Linked DNA regions of Diceros bicornis minor. The protein of the gene in region 1 interacts with the protein of each later gene in a biochemical or structural test. Links are inferred from orthologs where the notes say so. Each region holds a gene or a part of one and is shown in the gene's direction. Other genes may lie near its edges.

The links. The genes of interacting proteins can lie anywhere in the genome.
Region 2: of the proteins of tyrosine-protein kinase ZAP-70 (region 1) and LAT, one has a biochemical effect on the other in vitro, tested with the Homo sapiens proteins (2 studies listed by BioGRID). The link is inferred for Diceros bicornis minor from reciprocal best matches to the Homo sapiens genes ZAP70 and LAT.

The regions. Positions count from the first base shown.
Region 1 is NC_080779.1:15,567,033-15,574,161, reverse strand, and holds the start of tyrosine-protein kinase ZAP-70, read left to right. Parts: upstream 1-4,114; 5' UTR 4,115-4,370; coding exon 4,371-4,384; intron 4,385-4,842; coding exon 4,843-4,939; intron 4,940-5,177; coding exon 5,178-5,257; intron 5,258-7,129. UniProt on the Homo sapiens protein: Tyrosine kinase that plays an essential role in regulation of the adaptive immune response. Regulates motility, adhesion and cytokine expression of mature T-cells, as well as thymocyte development.
Region 2 is NC_080765.1:22,226,390-22,233,765, forward strand, and holds the start of LAT (linker for activation of T-cells family member 1), read left to right. Parts: upstream 1-4,373; 5' UTR 4,374-4,669; exon of another isoform or gene 4,670-4,963; coding exon 4,964-5,066; intron 5,067-5,250; coding exon 5,251-5,278; intron 5,279-5,390; coding exon 5,391-5,425; intron 5,426-5,678; coding exon 5,679-5,766; intron 5,767-5,897; coding exon 5,898-5,962; intron 5,963-6,051; coding exon 6,052-6,229; intron 6,230-6,301; coding exon 6,302-6,396; intron 6,397-7,376. Other genes in the region: SPNS1 (protein spinster homolog 1), read left to right, coding at 8-159, 258-324, 1,125-1,270, 1,574-1,729, 2,056-2,245, 2,569-2,634, 2,895-2,993, 3,317-3,488 and 1 more. UniProt on the Homo sapiens protein: Required for TCR (T-cell antigen receptor)- and pre-TCR-mediated signaling, both in mature T-cells and during their development.

The DNA.
Region 1 (7,129 bases):
ATTAGCCCTGCGCTAACATCCATGCCCATCTTCCTCTATTTTTTATATGTGGGACGCCACCACAGCATGGCTTGATGAGCGGTGAGCAGGTCCACGCCTGGGATCCAAACCTGTGAACCCTGGGCTGCAGAAACGGAGCCCGCGAACTTAACCACAACGCCACTGGGCTGACCCCTGGACTCCAATGCTCTTGCCTTGACCTTCTTTGAGCCTCAGTTTCCTCATCTTGGCAATGGGAGCAGGAATTTACCCCCTTTACAGGGCCGTTGGGTGGCTCATTCAGCGGCCAACATTTGTCGAGCACCTCCTGTGTGCCAGGCACCGTGCGGAGCTGGCCGCTGGGTCACCGTGGGGAGCCTTCCTGACAGCAGGTTGCTGGCGTCCTCCTGGGCTTGGAGGAGGTGTGGCTGCCAGGGCTTGGGTATACAGCAGGCGCACCATGAACACTGGATTCTTCCTTGAGCTCCCGATAGGTTGCATCCCCACCCTCATCCTGACCTCTCGGGACCGACCCCAGACCTGAGAGGCAGCCCACGCTCCTGTTGGCCTCCCACCCCTACCTCAGGCTTCCATTTGAGGAACAAATCAGGGTCAGCCACCTCCAGCCTCCGCCAGCAGTCTCCCCACTGCCTGCGGCCCACCTAGCCTGCCCTGAACTGTCTTTCATTTCCCTCTTTCCCTATCAAAGAGGTGGCCCCCTTTGCATTCTCAGGCTAAGGGCTTTCACCTTCAGCTCAGCGGGTGGTCCAGCCAGCCTGTCCCTGGCTTGGTGAGAGGCGGTGCCAGACGGCACGGGGGGGTTTTCAGGGTCGAGCCCAATGGAGTTCTGGGCTCCCTTTGAGCCAGGCGATCCCAGGCTCTGCCACTTACTAGCTGTGCAATCTCAAGCCTCAGTTTCCTCTTGGCCTCAGTTTCTGTAACTGTAAAATAGGGCTAACCTATTTTATAACCTATTCATGTGGCTGTTGTGAGCATTAGACGCACCTTAGCTGGCGCCACCACACAGTAGTCAATATAAATGAATAAACCAATCTCAGCTGTTATGATTATTCTGCAAAACTTTGGCCCTTTGCCTACCCAGCATCCTTTTCCCCTCCTTCCAGCCATAGCCTCTGACTTCTCTTGGGGTTCTTCTCCTCCGTCTCACTGTGGTGGGGCAGGGCATGTGACCTGGTCCTCAGCCGTTCTCCCATCTCCTCCACAGGCCTGAGCGACTGGTTGGGGGACGGACATGTGATGCACTCAGCCAGTGAGCTGTGTTGGGACTTTAGCTGGAAATGCTGAGAGATAGATTCTTGCTCCCTGAGTGGGATTTGAAACTGTCTTGGACCGTAGGAGAAACTTGTCTGAGAATGAAGACAACAGGTGGAGGAGGTAACAATTCTGGGGCCATCATTTGAGCCCTGAGCAAGCTTTTCCTAAAGCCCGTACCTGGGCTTTTCATGCCATATTTATTGAACACTATTATGTGCCAAGTGCCACTCCTGTCGCTGGGGATGCAGCCAGGAACAAGGCAGTTCCCACCTCACAGAGGTCACAGACCTGCCCCAGGGCCTTTGCACTTGCTGTTCCTGTTACCTAGAATGCTCTTCCCCCGACATCTCTATGGCTCCCTCCTGCACTTCCTTCAAGTCTTGCCTCACAGACTATCCCCTCAGTGAGGCTGGCCCTGACCCCTCTGTTGGAAGTCACACACCCACACACCTCTTCTACCCTTTCCTGATTTATTTTACTCCTCGCACTTGAAACCACCTAATACACTCTATACTTATACGTTACTTCTCTATCTCCCCCACTAAAATATCAGCTCCATGAGGGAAGAGATTTTTGTCTGCATTGTTCACAACAGATCCATAGTGCCTAGAACAGAATCTGGCCTAGGGTAGGTACTCAGTGTTGAATAAATAGGGAGCTCCCAACAGACTATGTGAAGAGGTGACACTGTCCTTGCGGTTTGAAGGTTTAAGGAGCCAGCCATTCGATGACCCCCAGGGGAGGGCACAGCATGTGGCTGCTGTAGCCAGTCGATTCTCTTCTGATTTCAACCAGGTTGGATTAAATTTATTTTTTGAGAGGGGTGGTGTCACTTTCAACCTTAGGGATCCTGAGTTGCGCTGGGAAGGATGCAGTATTGGAGAGCTGCCTCTGGAGGGTGCAAGGCAACCCCGTTGCTGCCCCTGGACATTCAGTCACCAGCACATTATAAAAAGTGGGAGAATCCAGAGAGATGGTGGTGGTGGTGATGATGATGATGATGATGGCAATAATGGAGCATTTGCTTTGAAGTCTGTTTTAGTTTCCACAAGAGCCCTAGGAGGTAGGCACCGTTCTCATCCCTATTTCCTAAATGAGGAAAGTAATGCACAGAGAGATCAAGTAACTTGCTCAAGGTCCTTCAGCTATAAGTGGCAGAACCAGAAAAGAATAATAAGGAGATAAAAGTCACCATTGCCTGACCACGCCCCCCGCGCCCCCCGCCCCCCACGGAAAGGCAGGTGAGCTGCATGGCTAGGACGCCCAGGTGGGAAGGAACTCAGGAGGGGCCCTGCGGGGAAGCGGCTGTCCCCGCTTTGGGGCTCATTGCGCTCTCCACTCCCCAGCCCACCTGCCAGAGGTCTGGGGCCTCTGGGGCCAAATCTGGCCCGCTCACAAGTCAGGTGAAACGGACTCAAAGCCCCACCCCGCCCAGTTTGGGGAGGGAAGGCTGCCTGGAGGAAGCCGCGTTTGCTCACTGCCCTGGAGGAGGAGGAGGAGTCAGGCAGCTGAGGTGGGGGCAGCGAGTTCAGGCTGGGACACGGCGTGGGCAAAGCCCCGGAGGCGTGGGAGTGAGCAATCAATTTCTTCCAAGGCCCTGCGTGCTCTGAGGGAGCATTCACCCAAGCCCACCCCCGGGCAGGCGCGCCGCAACTTCCCCGGCCCACGGTTTCGTCCTCGCGCTCTTTCCTCCGCACGATCCAAGGACCGTCCACCTCCCTGCACTTGGGCTGCGCCTCGGTCTTATCCGCAGGCCGATCTCACACCGGGCCTGCGTCTCAGGACGCGGCCTCCGGGACCGGAAGGGGGTTCGGGGCCTCGCAGAGGCTGAGAGTCGTCTTCTCAGGCCTGAAGACCCCGGAGACTGGAAGCCCCACACGCAGCCCGCTCACCTCCCGGCCCTCTGGAGGCGCCGCGGGAGCTGCTGTGCAGTCGAGGTTCCTTCCTCCACTGCCCACCGGCGCCTGGGCTGAGGGCTGCTCGCTCCAGTCCCGCCTGGCCCCTTGGATCTGTTATTTAACCTCTCCGGGCTTCACTTACCTAATCTGGAAAATGGGTTAAGTGGGTTCCATGGATTCAATTGTAAACTGTTTACAGCTGTTGTCTGGCACACAGTAGTGCTACTATGTTGTAGATTATGTGGCTCTGGTGTTCTGGTTTCTCCTCCCTTCACTCTGCCGCATCATTCTTCTCTCATTACCCCAAGAAAGGAGTTTCCAGTATGGAAAGTGACTGTTTTTTTTTCTGCATCTTGAGTTTCATGATGCCTGTGGGGAAAGGGAAGCCTTTTAACAAAAACAGTTTGGGAGGAAATCTAGGTAGGAGAAAAGTTCCCCAGCCTGGAGCTTAGAAAAAAGATTTCCTGAGTGGGGAGAGGGGGGTTAGGGAACTGGGGGATAGTAGAGACTGCGGAGGGGGTCCCCAGGAGAGGAGACCTGGGCTGCAGCGTAGAGAAGACATCAGGCAGGCTGGGGAGCCGAGCCCACGTCCCCCGGGGTGGCAGAACCAGAGAGGAAAGGTTCTTAGGGTCTCAGCAGTGGGCTTGGGACAGCCCCACACAGGTCCCTGGGGCTCCACTGGGGGGCCAGCTGCTGAAAAAACCCCCCAGGCCCCAGAGGGCAAGGAAGAGGGGGTGAGAGAGGCCCAGAGGCCTTGGGGCGAGGGAGGAAGAGATGGGGTGAAGTGGACGTCGGAGACGGGCACTGGCTGTGCAGCAGAGCCGCTCTGTAGGCCACTGAGGGACAAGTGTGAGGCGTGGCCACCTGGTCAGAGGGGCGTGGGGGCCATCACGGGGGTGGGCGGGTGTGAGGGAAGGGAGGAAAGGAGCGTGAGGAAGGGGCTGTGGCCAGAGCAGAAGGTGGTGCTTAGCCAGGGCCAGCGTGTGGGGAAGGTCCGAGAGGGCCGAGCTGGGATTGGATGGGCACTGATCTTGACAATACGACCGATTCCTCTCAGAATCCTTCCCTGGCACCCCCAGGCTGCACTGGGCTCCTCTGGGTACACACAGAGGCCAGGCTTCCGCCGTCCCAGCCCTGGTCTCCCTGTTGCCTCAGCCGCCTCCTCCTCTAGCCTGTGAGCACTTTGAGGGCAGAGACAGGGCTGTCATTGCTGTCCCGATGCCTGGCACATGGTAGGTCCTCAGAACCTTTGAGGTATGGAATTATTTAGTAGGTTTCTCCTCTCTCCAGCTTTAACCTGTTTGTGGAATAAATAAATCACCCTTATGAGCAGTTCAGCCAGGGGCAGGCCCCGGATCGACGCCCCCTTGGGCGGGGAAAGTGGGGGCATTCCAGTTTCCAATGAGGCCTGGGGATCCTCCTCCCACCTCCAGTGCCCCCCCAAATCCAGCACACACAGCTCCCCTCCTCCCCCTCCCCAGGTCTGGGGATGCTGTTGGAATCGTTTCTGCATCGTCCCTGCCTGCAGCCAGCCTCGGGTCCCCAGCGTGGGCTCGCCCTGCTTGGCCCCGGAAATGCCCTCTGCCCTCCCCGAGCACGTGGCCCCGATTTTCCTTGAACGCAGCACTTTGTAACTTTGACGCAAACTTCAAACGCAGCCCCCTTTCCTGTCTTCGCATCGCGGAAATAGGTTGAGTTTCAGAGAAACCCGCCGCCAGGAGCACAGCAGGCCTTCCGGCCCGGCTCCCTGCCCAGCCTGGGCCTCCGCGCTCTGCCGCTGCGTCCAGGTGAGTGGCCATCCTCCGGCCCTCTGCCTCTGTCCTGCAGCCACGGCCACCACAGGGGACTCTGGGGCAGTGGCAGAGGGTGAATAAAATTCCCGCTGAGCGAGAAACCCTCGTGGGGTGTGACCTCCTTATACCTTGCCTGCGTGTGTGAATGGGGGTGAACCGGGGGGCCTCAGGCTGGGGGCTCAGGCTGCAGAGAAATGCAAGTTGGTTTTCTGGGTCCCAATTCTTCACCTAGAACCTGCTGTCTGTCGGCGTTGGGGACCACAGACCTTGCAGGTGGCCTGTTTGGCTCGACGCCCGTCTGCACATCTCCAGGTAAGTCATCCTGGATAGAGCGGCCGCTGGCTGCCTTCTCCAGGGGTGGCCTGGGTCTGTTGGAGGAGGACAGAGTCATGAGGCCACTGGGGAGGACCAGGAGGGCTGTAGCACTGGGATGGGTGGTGTCCAGCTGGAGAAGGAAGCAGACATGGTTTGTGCCACCCTGAGGGAAGCAGCTCCCCTCCAGACCGTCAGCAGAGCGGTGTTGTCCAGGGGACACAGAGGTGTCTGCTCAGCCCTTGGCCTCCTTGGGCCCCATCAGGGTGGCATCTGTGGCTCCAGGAAGCAGAGAAACCTCCAGAGAAAACAAACGTGTGGTCTGTCACCCACCCACCGCCCCCCCTCCCCCCGGCCCCGTGAATATGAGGGTGGCTTGGCAGGGCGGTGAACTGGAACGACAAAACGCCGATGATTGCCGTGAGGGGGCCCAGGGCAGGCTCGAGCCACCTGTAGGGGAGCTCAGGTTAAAGGGGGGCCCGGAGAGGTGAAGGAGCAAACAGCTTGAATCCTGCTCAACCGCTGTGTGTCCTTGGCAAGTTGCTTGGCCTCTCTGAGCCTCAGTTTGCACATCTGTTAAATGCAGATGCAAATATTGGCTCCTGGCTGTTGGGCCAGTGGTCGGGGAAGGCATCCCAGGCAGGAAAGAGTCTTGGCAGGAAGGAACAGGGGTCATGTGGGAACAACTCAAGATAAGTGTCATCATGACTCTCATCTCAGCCGGGGCAGCGTGCACACAGTAGGTGCTTAATAAAGCTTTGCTGAGAGATTAGGGTCAGGGACTCCTGGGATGGACGGTCCTAGGGGCCACATGTGAAGGCTCCTCTCCTTCGCCGCTGCAGAGCTTCTCTTCCTTCTGTCGCCCGTCCCCAGCCCCACGCCCGCACCCTGGCAGGAACACAGGGCGGGCAGGCAGCCTGGATGGTGTTTCCGTGTACCCTCTGGAGCCAGGCAGCCCAGATTCGAGTCCTGGCTCTGCCACCTACTGTGTGTGCTGTGTGACCTCGGGCAGGTCACTCCACCTCTGTGTGCTTCAGGTCCCGAATCCACACGTCCTCCACTCACAGGGTTCTCTCGAGGATTGGGCGAGTGACTACCTCTAGAGCATCTGGTGCATAGTAGGCACTATATAAACATCTCGCTATAATCCTCATTATCATTACCAGCTCCGGGCGGTCTTGGGCTCTGGACTTGATGGCTCCTGGAGACTCTCCTGGGGCTGCAGCCTGCTGGCCCTGCTGGCCCTCCTGCCCCACCCCGAAGTGTAGGGTTGAGGCAGCGGTTCTCACTGGAGCCAATTTTCCCTCCCTCCCCTGCTCCCCCAGGGACATTCCATAACGTCTGGGGACATTTTGGTCATGACTCAGGGTGTTACGGCATCTAGCAGATAGAGGCCAGCAATGCGGCGAACAACTACAATGCACAGGACAGCGCCGTGCTGTCCCCACCTCTCTATCAGGCGCCGTCCCCCGACTCGTCCCACCTTTTCCATCCCCTAAGCCTTTCCCCATCTCCCTTTTACAATCACAGAGCTTGACACTCAGAGAGGGAAAGTTCCTGGCTGAGGTCACACAGCCCTTAGAACCTAGGCAGCAGAGGTTGGGGCGGGGGACTGGTCTTGTAGCATTGTTCAGTCAATCCACAGACACTGAGAGAGTCTGCTGGACGTGGGGACCTGCCCCTGCCCCCCAACAGCCCAGCAGTCTGGGCCCTGACAGTCAAAGGCAGCTCAAAGGGCAGCGACACCTGGGTCAGCCTGGGCTCTGTGGGGACATGAGAGCCCCTGGGTGCCAGCTCGGGGCCGTGGCTTCTGCTCTCCCGATGCACATTCCCTGGAGTGGTTAGTGCCGGCTGCTGGGTGAGAGAGACCTG
Region 2 (7,376 bases), on another chromosome or scaffold:
TCCCCAGCGGTTCTGGCTGCTCCTCCTGACCCGGGGCCTGGTGGGGGTCGGGGAGGCCAGTTACTCCACCATCGCGCCCACTCTCATCGCTGACCTCTTCGTGGCAGACCAGCGGAGTCGGATGCTCAGCGTCTTCTACTTTGCCATCCCAGTGGGCAGGTGAGTGGGCCTTGGGCCTGATGGGGAGGCAGAAGGGCCTGGCGTGGGGGACGCGACTGACCAGCTGTCTCCTCTCCTCTCCCACTCCCTTCCCCCAGTGGTCTGGGTTACATTGCAGGCTCCAAAGTGAAGGATGTGGCCGGGGACTGGCACTGGGCTCTGAGGGTGAGTCTGGTCACGGCCTGCCGAAGGTCAGGAACATTCTCACTGATCCCCGTTTCCTACCTTCAGACACCCCCTCTTTTGAGGCAGTCTCACTCTTGCAAGCCTTCAGGAAGCCTGGCTGCCCTCACCATGAAGCCATGTGCTAGAACTCTTGGTTGCAGGTGACAGAAGCCCATTGAAAAACTGTAAGCCCCAAAATGGGACTTTCTTGGCTCTCATAATGGAAAGTCCCAGGGTGAGCTTCAGGTAAAGCTGGATCCAGGACTCACCCACTGTCACAGGAATTTGATCATCCTTTTCTCAGCTCTGCTTTCCTCTGTGTTAACTTCATTCTCAAGCAAGGGAAAGCTCCACATGTTTGTATTCCTATTTAGAAGCATCAGCACCCTGGATCCTTGGGCAGTAGTCCTACATGGTGTCTGATTAAATGAACATGGGTCACATGCCTGCCACTGAATCAGTCACTGAGGCTGGGGAGGGTAACACTACTCTTGTTGGCCAAGTCTGGATTACAAGCCCCGCCCTGTTTGAACTACATGGATTGAGAGAAGGCAGAGTGGTTTCCTAGAAGAAAATTAGAGTACTGTTACCAAAGAGGGAGCAGCTAGGCTTGCAGACACGGGGCCCCTAGTGGCATTTGCCCCTCCCCCCAGTTGTAAGTTTAGCTTCCCTGAACAGGCACTCACCTGGCTGTTTGAGGTCTTGAGGCCTGAGTTGCCTTAATACCCCCTCACTTTCTCCCAGCCCCAGGTTGAGTGTGTCCCTCCCTGTGCCTGTCCTGAAGCCCACTCTTCCCCCAGGTGACACCAGGTCTAGGAGTGCTGGCTGTTCTGCTGTTGTTCCTAGTAGTACGGGAGCCGCCGAGGGGAGCTGTGGAGCGCCACTCAGACTCACCGCCCCTGAGCCCCACCTCATGGTGGGCAGATCTGAGGGCTCTGGCAAGAAAGTGAGTTTAGTTCCATTCTCACCCAACATCTGAGGCCCCCCAGGGAGGCCTGACATCTAGTTTGAGATTTAGTGGGCGTGGTCTTTGTTTTCTCTTATGCCAGCTGGCTCTACCTCAGGGCCTGGAATTCAGTCACCACTGCCTCCTTGTGGCAGCAGCTTGAATTACAGGCCCAGATCCTGGGCACCAGGACAGCCTTCACCCGGGGCCCAGACCTTATTAAAATAAGTCAGGAAGGGAGAACAGAGGTCCCCTACCCCAACACCTCAGTGGAGTCTGACTTCTCCTCCCAACTGTCTGCAGTCCCAGTTTCATCCTGTCTTCCCTTGGCTTCACTGCTGTGGCCTTCGTCACGGGCTCCCTGGCTCTTTGGGCTCCTGCCTTCTTGCTGCGTTCCCGTGTGGTCTTGGGGGAGACCCCACCCTGCCTTCCTGGAGACTCCTGCTCTTCCTCTGACAGGTACCCAGATTGGGGCTGTGCTGGGTGGCCTGCAAGCGGCAGGGGATGGAGTGGAGAGAGTCTGCGATTCAGACTCAGGCAAGGAGAGTTTGAGCCCCAACCCCAAAGCTACTTCCTCTCCCCGAGTCTCAGTGTCCTGGTCTGGGAAACAGGGATGGGGTGACGCCTTCCTCTTTGAGCTTAGTGAACTGTGGGGTGCTGTGCCTGGATAGACCTGGGCTGTGAGGGTGGCTGGGATGGACCATCTTCCTCTCCAGGCCGTGGGGGTGAGGCTAGGGGGCTTTGCAGCCAGAGGGTCTAGCCCGCACCCCCTCCACTCCCCCCAGCCTCATCTTCGGGCTCATCACCTGCGTGACTGGCGTCCTGGGTGTGGGCCTGGGCGTGGAGGTCAGCCGCCGCCTCCGCCGCTCCAACCCCCGGGCTGACCCGCTTGTCTGTGCTGCTGGCCTCCTGGGCTCCGCACCCTTCCTCTTCCTGTCCCTCGCCTGTGCCCGTGGTAGCATCGTGGCCACCTATGTGAGTAGCCCAGAGGTATCAAGGGGGGTGTTCCGGGTACAGGGTGGAGGAACGGGGTACTGGGGCAGGACTGGGGTCAGCCAGCCAGTTCAGAGCCGACTCTGGAGCAGGAATACCCAGCTTTGCATCTCAGCTCCAGCCTTTCCCAGCTGTGTGACATTGGGCAAGTACTTAACCTCTGTGCTGGGTTTCATCACCTGTAAAATGGGAGTGATAGTAGCACCTGTTGTGAGGATTAAATGTGTTAACAGATGGGCCTGGTACCTGGTAAACCCTCCATGTATTTGCTCTTCTTGTGATGAGGACCCCCCCCCACCCCCCAGATTTTCATCTTTATCGGAGAGACACTGCTATCCATGAACTGGGCCATTGTGGCTGACATTCTGCTGGTGAGTAGCCGGGCCGCTCCAGGGTTAGCCCAGAGGCTAATGAGAGCAGGGAGTGGGGGCAGCAGGCCTCACTTTCCTTGAATTGTGGCCTTGACCTCATCTTCAAAACCAGCCCCAGACTGACTTCAGAGTCCAGCCCCAGACGGGTCTGTAGCCTTCCCCCCAGTCACACCTCTGAGCCAGGGTTCACCTCTGACCTCAGCCTAGGCTGAGCCTTGGCCTTGTCCTCAGCCTCTGCCTCCTGCCCCTCCTCCCCCCAGTACGTGGTGATCCCCACACGACGCTCCACCGCCGAGGCCTTCCAGATTGTGCTGTCCCACCTGTTGGGTGACGCTGGGAGCCCCTACCTCATTGGCGTGGTGAGCACTGCCCCTTGGCCGGGCCTGGGGTGGGAGTTGGGGGCCCCTGCATTCCTAGCACCGGCTGGTGGTCACTGGCCTGAGCCTGGGCCACATTGGAAGGTCCCAGTTAGGGTCTGTGCCCTCTGTGCCAGGCCCCCTCACCTTGGGTCCTCAACTAGTCAGGAAGGGTTTTGTCCTGGCAGATGCCCACAGTGAGGCCGTGGAGCTCGCCTGGCGGACCAGCCCTCCTGCCCTTCCTGGCTCCAGGCTTTGTTCTCTGGAGTTCGGGGGCTCTCTCTCCCTGACCCCGTCCCCTGGCCTTCCTCTCCTGTCTCCGGCAGATCTCCGACCGCCTCCGCCGGCGCTGGCCCCCCTCCTTCTTGTCTGAGTTCCGGGCCTTGCAGTTCTCACTCATGCTCTGCGCCTTCGTTGGGGCGCTGGGGGGTGCGGCCTTCCTGGGCACCGCTCTCTTCATTGAGGGCGACCGCCAGCGAGCCCACCTGCACGTGCAGGGTCAGTTGCGCCTTCCCTCTGTCCATCCACAGCTCCTTGCCCTGCTTGTCCATCCGTCCGTGTGCTCGGTCCTGTGTGTCTGTCATCCCTCAGTCCACAGCCCTCCCCTCATGTGGCTTCAGCTCTGCCTGTCCAACAAGCTGATGCCCCTGTGTCCACAGCCCTGGTGGCTCTGCTGCCCAGTCCATTGCCCGCTGCCTGTCGGTCCCCTCCCTGGCTTTGTGTCTATCTTTGCCTCCAGCCCTGGCTCTGACCCCTTCCCGGCAGGTCTGCTGCATGAGACAGGGCCCGCAGATGACCGTATCGTGGTGCCCCAGCGAGGCCGCCCCACCCGGGTCCCCGTGTCCAGTGTGCTCATCTGAGGGGTTGTTGCTCGCCCACCTGCACACCTACCCCAGGAGGTGCCCGGGCCCAAACCCACAGCCTGGCCCAGCTTCTGGGAGGGACCTTGGGCCATGTTCCAGCTCCTAGACACTACACAGGCAGCCAAGCAGGGGGCAGGGGGGTCCGGGAATGGGGTCCCCCTCCACTGGAGCCGCCCGAGGGGCTCGGTGCTATTTGTACCTAAATAAAATTTATAGCCAGACCCCAAATGCCTGCTGAGTCTCTCTCGGTGCTAGCGATCTCTGACCTCTGGACTGCAGGGGATGCCATGTCTGCAGCCCCAGGACCCCCTGGGGGCTGTTGGGTCACTCCTGTGGGGCCTTGGGCAAATCCCTGCCCTTTGGGGCTGGGTGAATGAGAGGGTGGAGTGAGCTGGCTCAGTGTGATGGTGAGTCACGCCCACGTTTCCCCCAGAGCCCGCCCCTCTTGGCAGGCTGGCCAGGGGGAGGGGGTGTGGGCACTGCCCTGTGCCCCTCGGGGATTCCTGGTGTCAGAACCTCCCTCCCTGCTGCCTCCTCGAGCCGCGGCTGAAGGCTGCGGCTGCTGGCCTGCCAGGCTTCCCTCCTGCCACTGGTATAGTTGCCTCTTGTCCTGGAGGCCGGCAGAGCCTTCTTGAGGGCCTGGGGTGGCTCATCGGGCCTCCTCCCCCTCCCCACTGTCTGGGTGGGGGTGGGAAGGGGGCGGGTGCAGCCGGCTGAGGAGCCCGATGATTTCCTGCCCTCACCCGGCGCTCACCACAGCTTCCTGCCGCAGGCGGGCGGGCGAGGAGGAGAGGCGGGCGCCAAGCTGAGGGGCAGGTAGGACTGGGGTGCAGGGTCTGCGCAGGGTGGCTGGTGCCTCAGACTCCAGTCAAGGCCCTGGCCTGACCGCCTGGGGATCAAGGGTCTTCCAGAGCCAGCGCTGACCCCCACTCAGTCCAGTGAGAGGAGGGGATCCAGGGCCCCCAAGGAGGGCACAGCTGTCCCCACCTGGCTCCTGCCTGGTGCCCACTGGTCCCGGCACCTTGCTGGCCCAGTCCTCGCCCTGCTGCAGCTCTGCCCCTGAGGGGCGTGCGGCGAACAGCCAGGCCTGGTCCAGGCTCTCTTCTGCAGATGGAGGCGGCCATCCTGATCCCCTCCGTGCTGGGACCCCTGCTGCTGCCTCTCTTGGCCGTGTTGCTGATGGCACTGTGTGTGCGCTGCCGAGAGCTGCCAGGTGAGCGCGAGGTGGCGAGGTGGCCAGGTGCTCGGACACACTGACAGGGCTCCTCACCCTGCCCCCAACCCCTTGCTCCGTCTTTAACTGTCCCTAACTCTGTCCTGCACACGGAGATACGGAGAGCCCCGGCCTCCATCACCGTTTCCCCTTGTCACCCCCTTTTCCTGTCTCTCTTTTCCAGGCTCATATGACAGTGCTGCCTCTGATAGGTGAGTCGCCCCCCGACCGTGTGTCTGTCTCCCTCAATACTCATGCGGGGCTGGGCTGGGGGGCTGGCTGGGCCTCTCCCGGCCCTTCCCCTAGCTGTGTGTTTCCTGCCAGCTTGACCCCGAGCAGCATCGTGATCAAACGGCCTCGTGAGTACACGGGGTGTCTCCTCCCTCGAGTAGGGGAGAGGGTCCCCGGGGGTGTGAGAGAGCGTGTGCCTTTGTTCAGGTTACCCCCCACTGTGGCGTCCACATGGCCTTGACCTGAGCTGGGGATGGGGAGGGAGATGGGTGGCCTCAGGCCTGTCCAGGGGTGTCAGGGGTTAGCCTGCCCTTTGAGGCCTCGAGGATGGTAGGGGCATGAGGTTGGAGTCATTCCTTCAGCTTGGTCCTGTGTCCTCAGCCACGCTCGCCCCATGGCCACCGGCCGCTTCCTACCCGCCTGTTACCTCCTTCCCACCCCTGAGCCAGCCAGACCTGCTCCCCATCCCGTAAGTAGCCCGTTCCTCTCCAGAGTCTCCTCTTTACCCCTCACCTCCTTGGATTGGGGCCTCTTTCCCTGTTGTTACCCCTCTTGTCCCAGAGCCCCACTCCAGCATAACCTCTGACCTTTGACTCCCAGGAGATCCCCACAGCCCCCCGGGGGCTCCCACCGCATGCCATCTTCCCGGCAAGGCTCAGATGGTGGTAAGCGTGGAGCGGCCTGGGGGGCTGGGGCTGTACATAGGCTAGGCCCCGCCTGAGCTGACTCAGTCTCCCTCACTCTCTCTCTGCAGCCAACAGTGTGGCGAGCTATGAGAACGAGGGTGCTTCTGGAACCCCAGGTGCCGTGGCTAGGGGAAGGCTAAGGCCTGCCCCAGGCTTTGCCGACCCCCGTGTCGTTACCCCAGAGCCAGCCTGTGAGGACGCGGATGAAGATGAGGATGAGGAAGACTATCACAACGAGGGCTACTTGTGAGTTGCCCGGCGGGAGGTGGGGGCTGCGGCCGGGAGTCCGTGCTCACACACCCCTTGACTTCCTTACAGAGTGGTGCTTCCTGACACTGTCCCAGCCACCGGCACCGCCGTCCCGCCACCTCCTGCGTCCAAAAACCCCGGCCTCCGAGACAGCGCCTTCTCCAGTGAGTCGGCCATTTCTGACCCCTCCCTGGCCCCTCCGTGCTGGGGCCCCTCCCCTTCTCCTTCTCCTGTTATTTCTTTGATGCTTGCTACCCTCCATTTTCTCTCCTCTCTCTTTCTAGAACTCCTGTTCTTCAGAGAGTGGACTTCCTGCTCCGATCTCATTTTCTTACTTTTTCTCTTCTCTTTCCTATCTTTTTATCTTTTCCTTTTATTGTTGGCGAGATTTCCTTGACTTTCTTCTTCTTTTGACTCCGTTCCTTGATTCTGCTCTTTTATGTTCTCTCTTCTATCTGAAAGTTCTTTGTTGATCTCTGACTGTTCCTTTTTCATAGCCTCCTGTTCTTGTTTCATGGAGGCAATATCATTTTGTACATTTCTAAGGGTATTGATTATACATTTTGCCGGGGGCAGTTGTTTTGGAAGTGTTCTTCTGCTTCCTGCATTGCTTTGGTTTCCTTGGAGCTGCTGTTCCCCCTTCACTTTGGTCTCATCCTGCCTGTGAGAGGCTTTCCTCAATGTCTGGTGGTCTTCAGGGTTCTGTTACTCTCCTCTCTCTCTGTACTCACTCTGGGCCACCCCTTCTACATCCTGGCTTCATTTGCCATACAGATTCCCAGTGCCTCTCTCCTGAGCTCCAGATCACTTGTCCAAGTGCTTCTTTTCATTCATTCATTCATTCGTTCACTCACTCATTCATTCATCGTATTCACTGTGTGCCTCTGATACAACAGCTCGTGAGGTAGAGTCATGATAAAAGAGCTGATGTTTGTTGAGGGCCTACCACATGCCCTACTAAGAGTTTTCCATGTGTTGACTTATTAAACCTCACAATGCCCAGGTGCTGCTGTGCCTGCCCCTTCCCCTCCTGGCCTCCCTTGTCACGTCTGTACAATGGCAGCGCTTACTGTATGACAGGCCCCGTTTTAGCATTCACTGCCATAATCCTCAAAACACCCCACGAGGTGGGTGCTGTTACTTG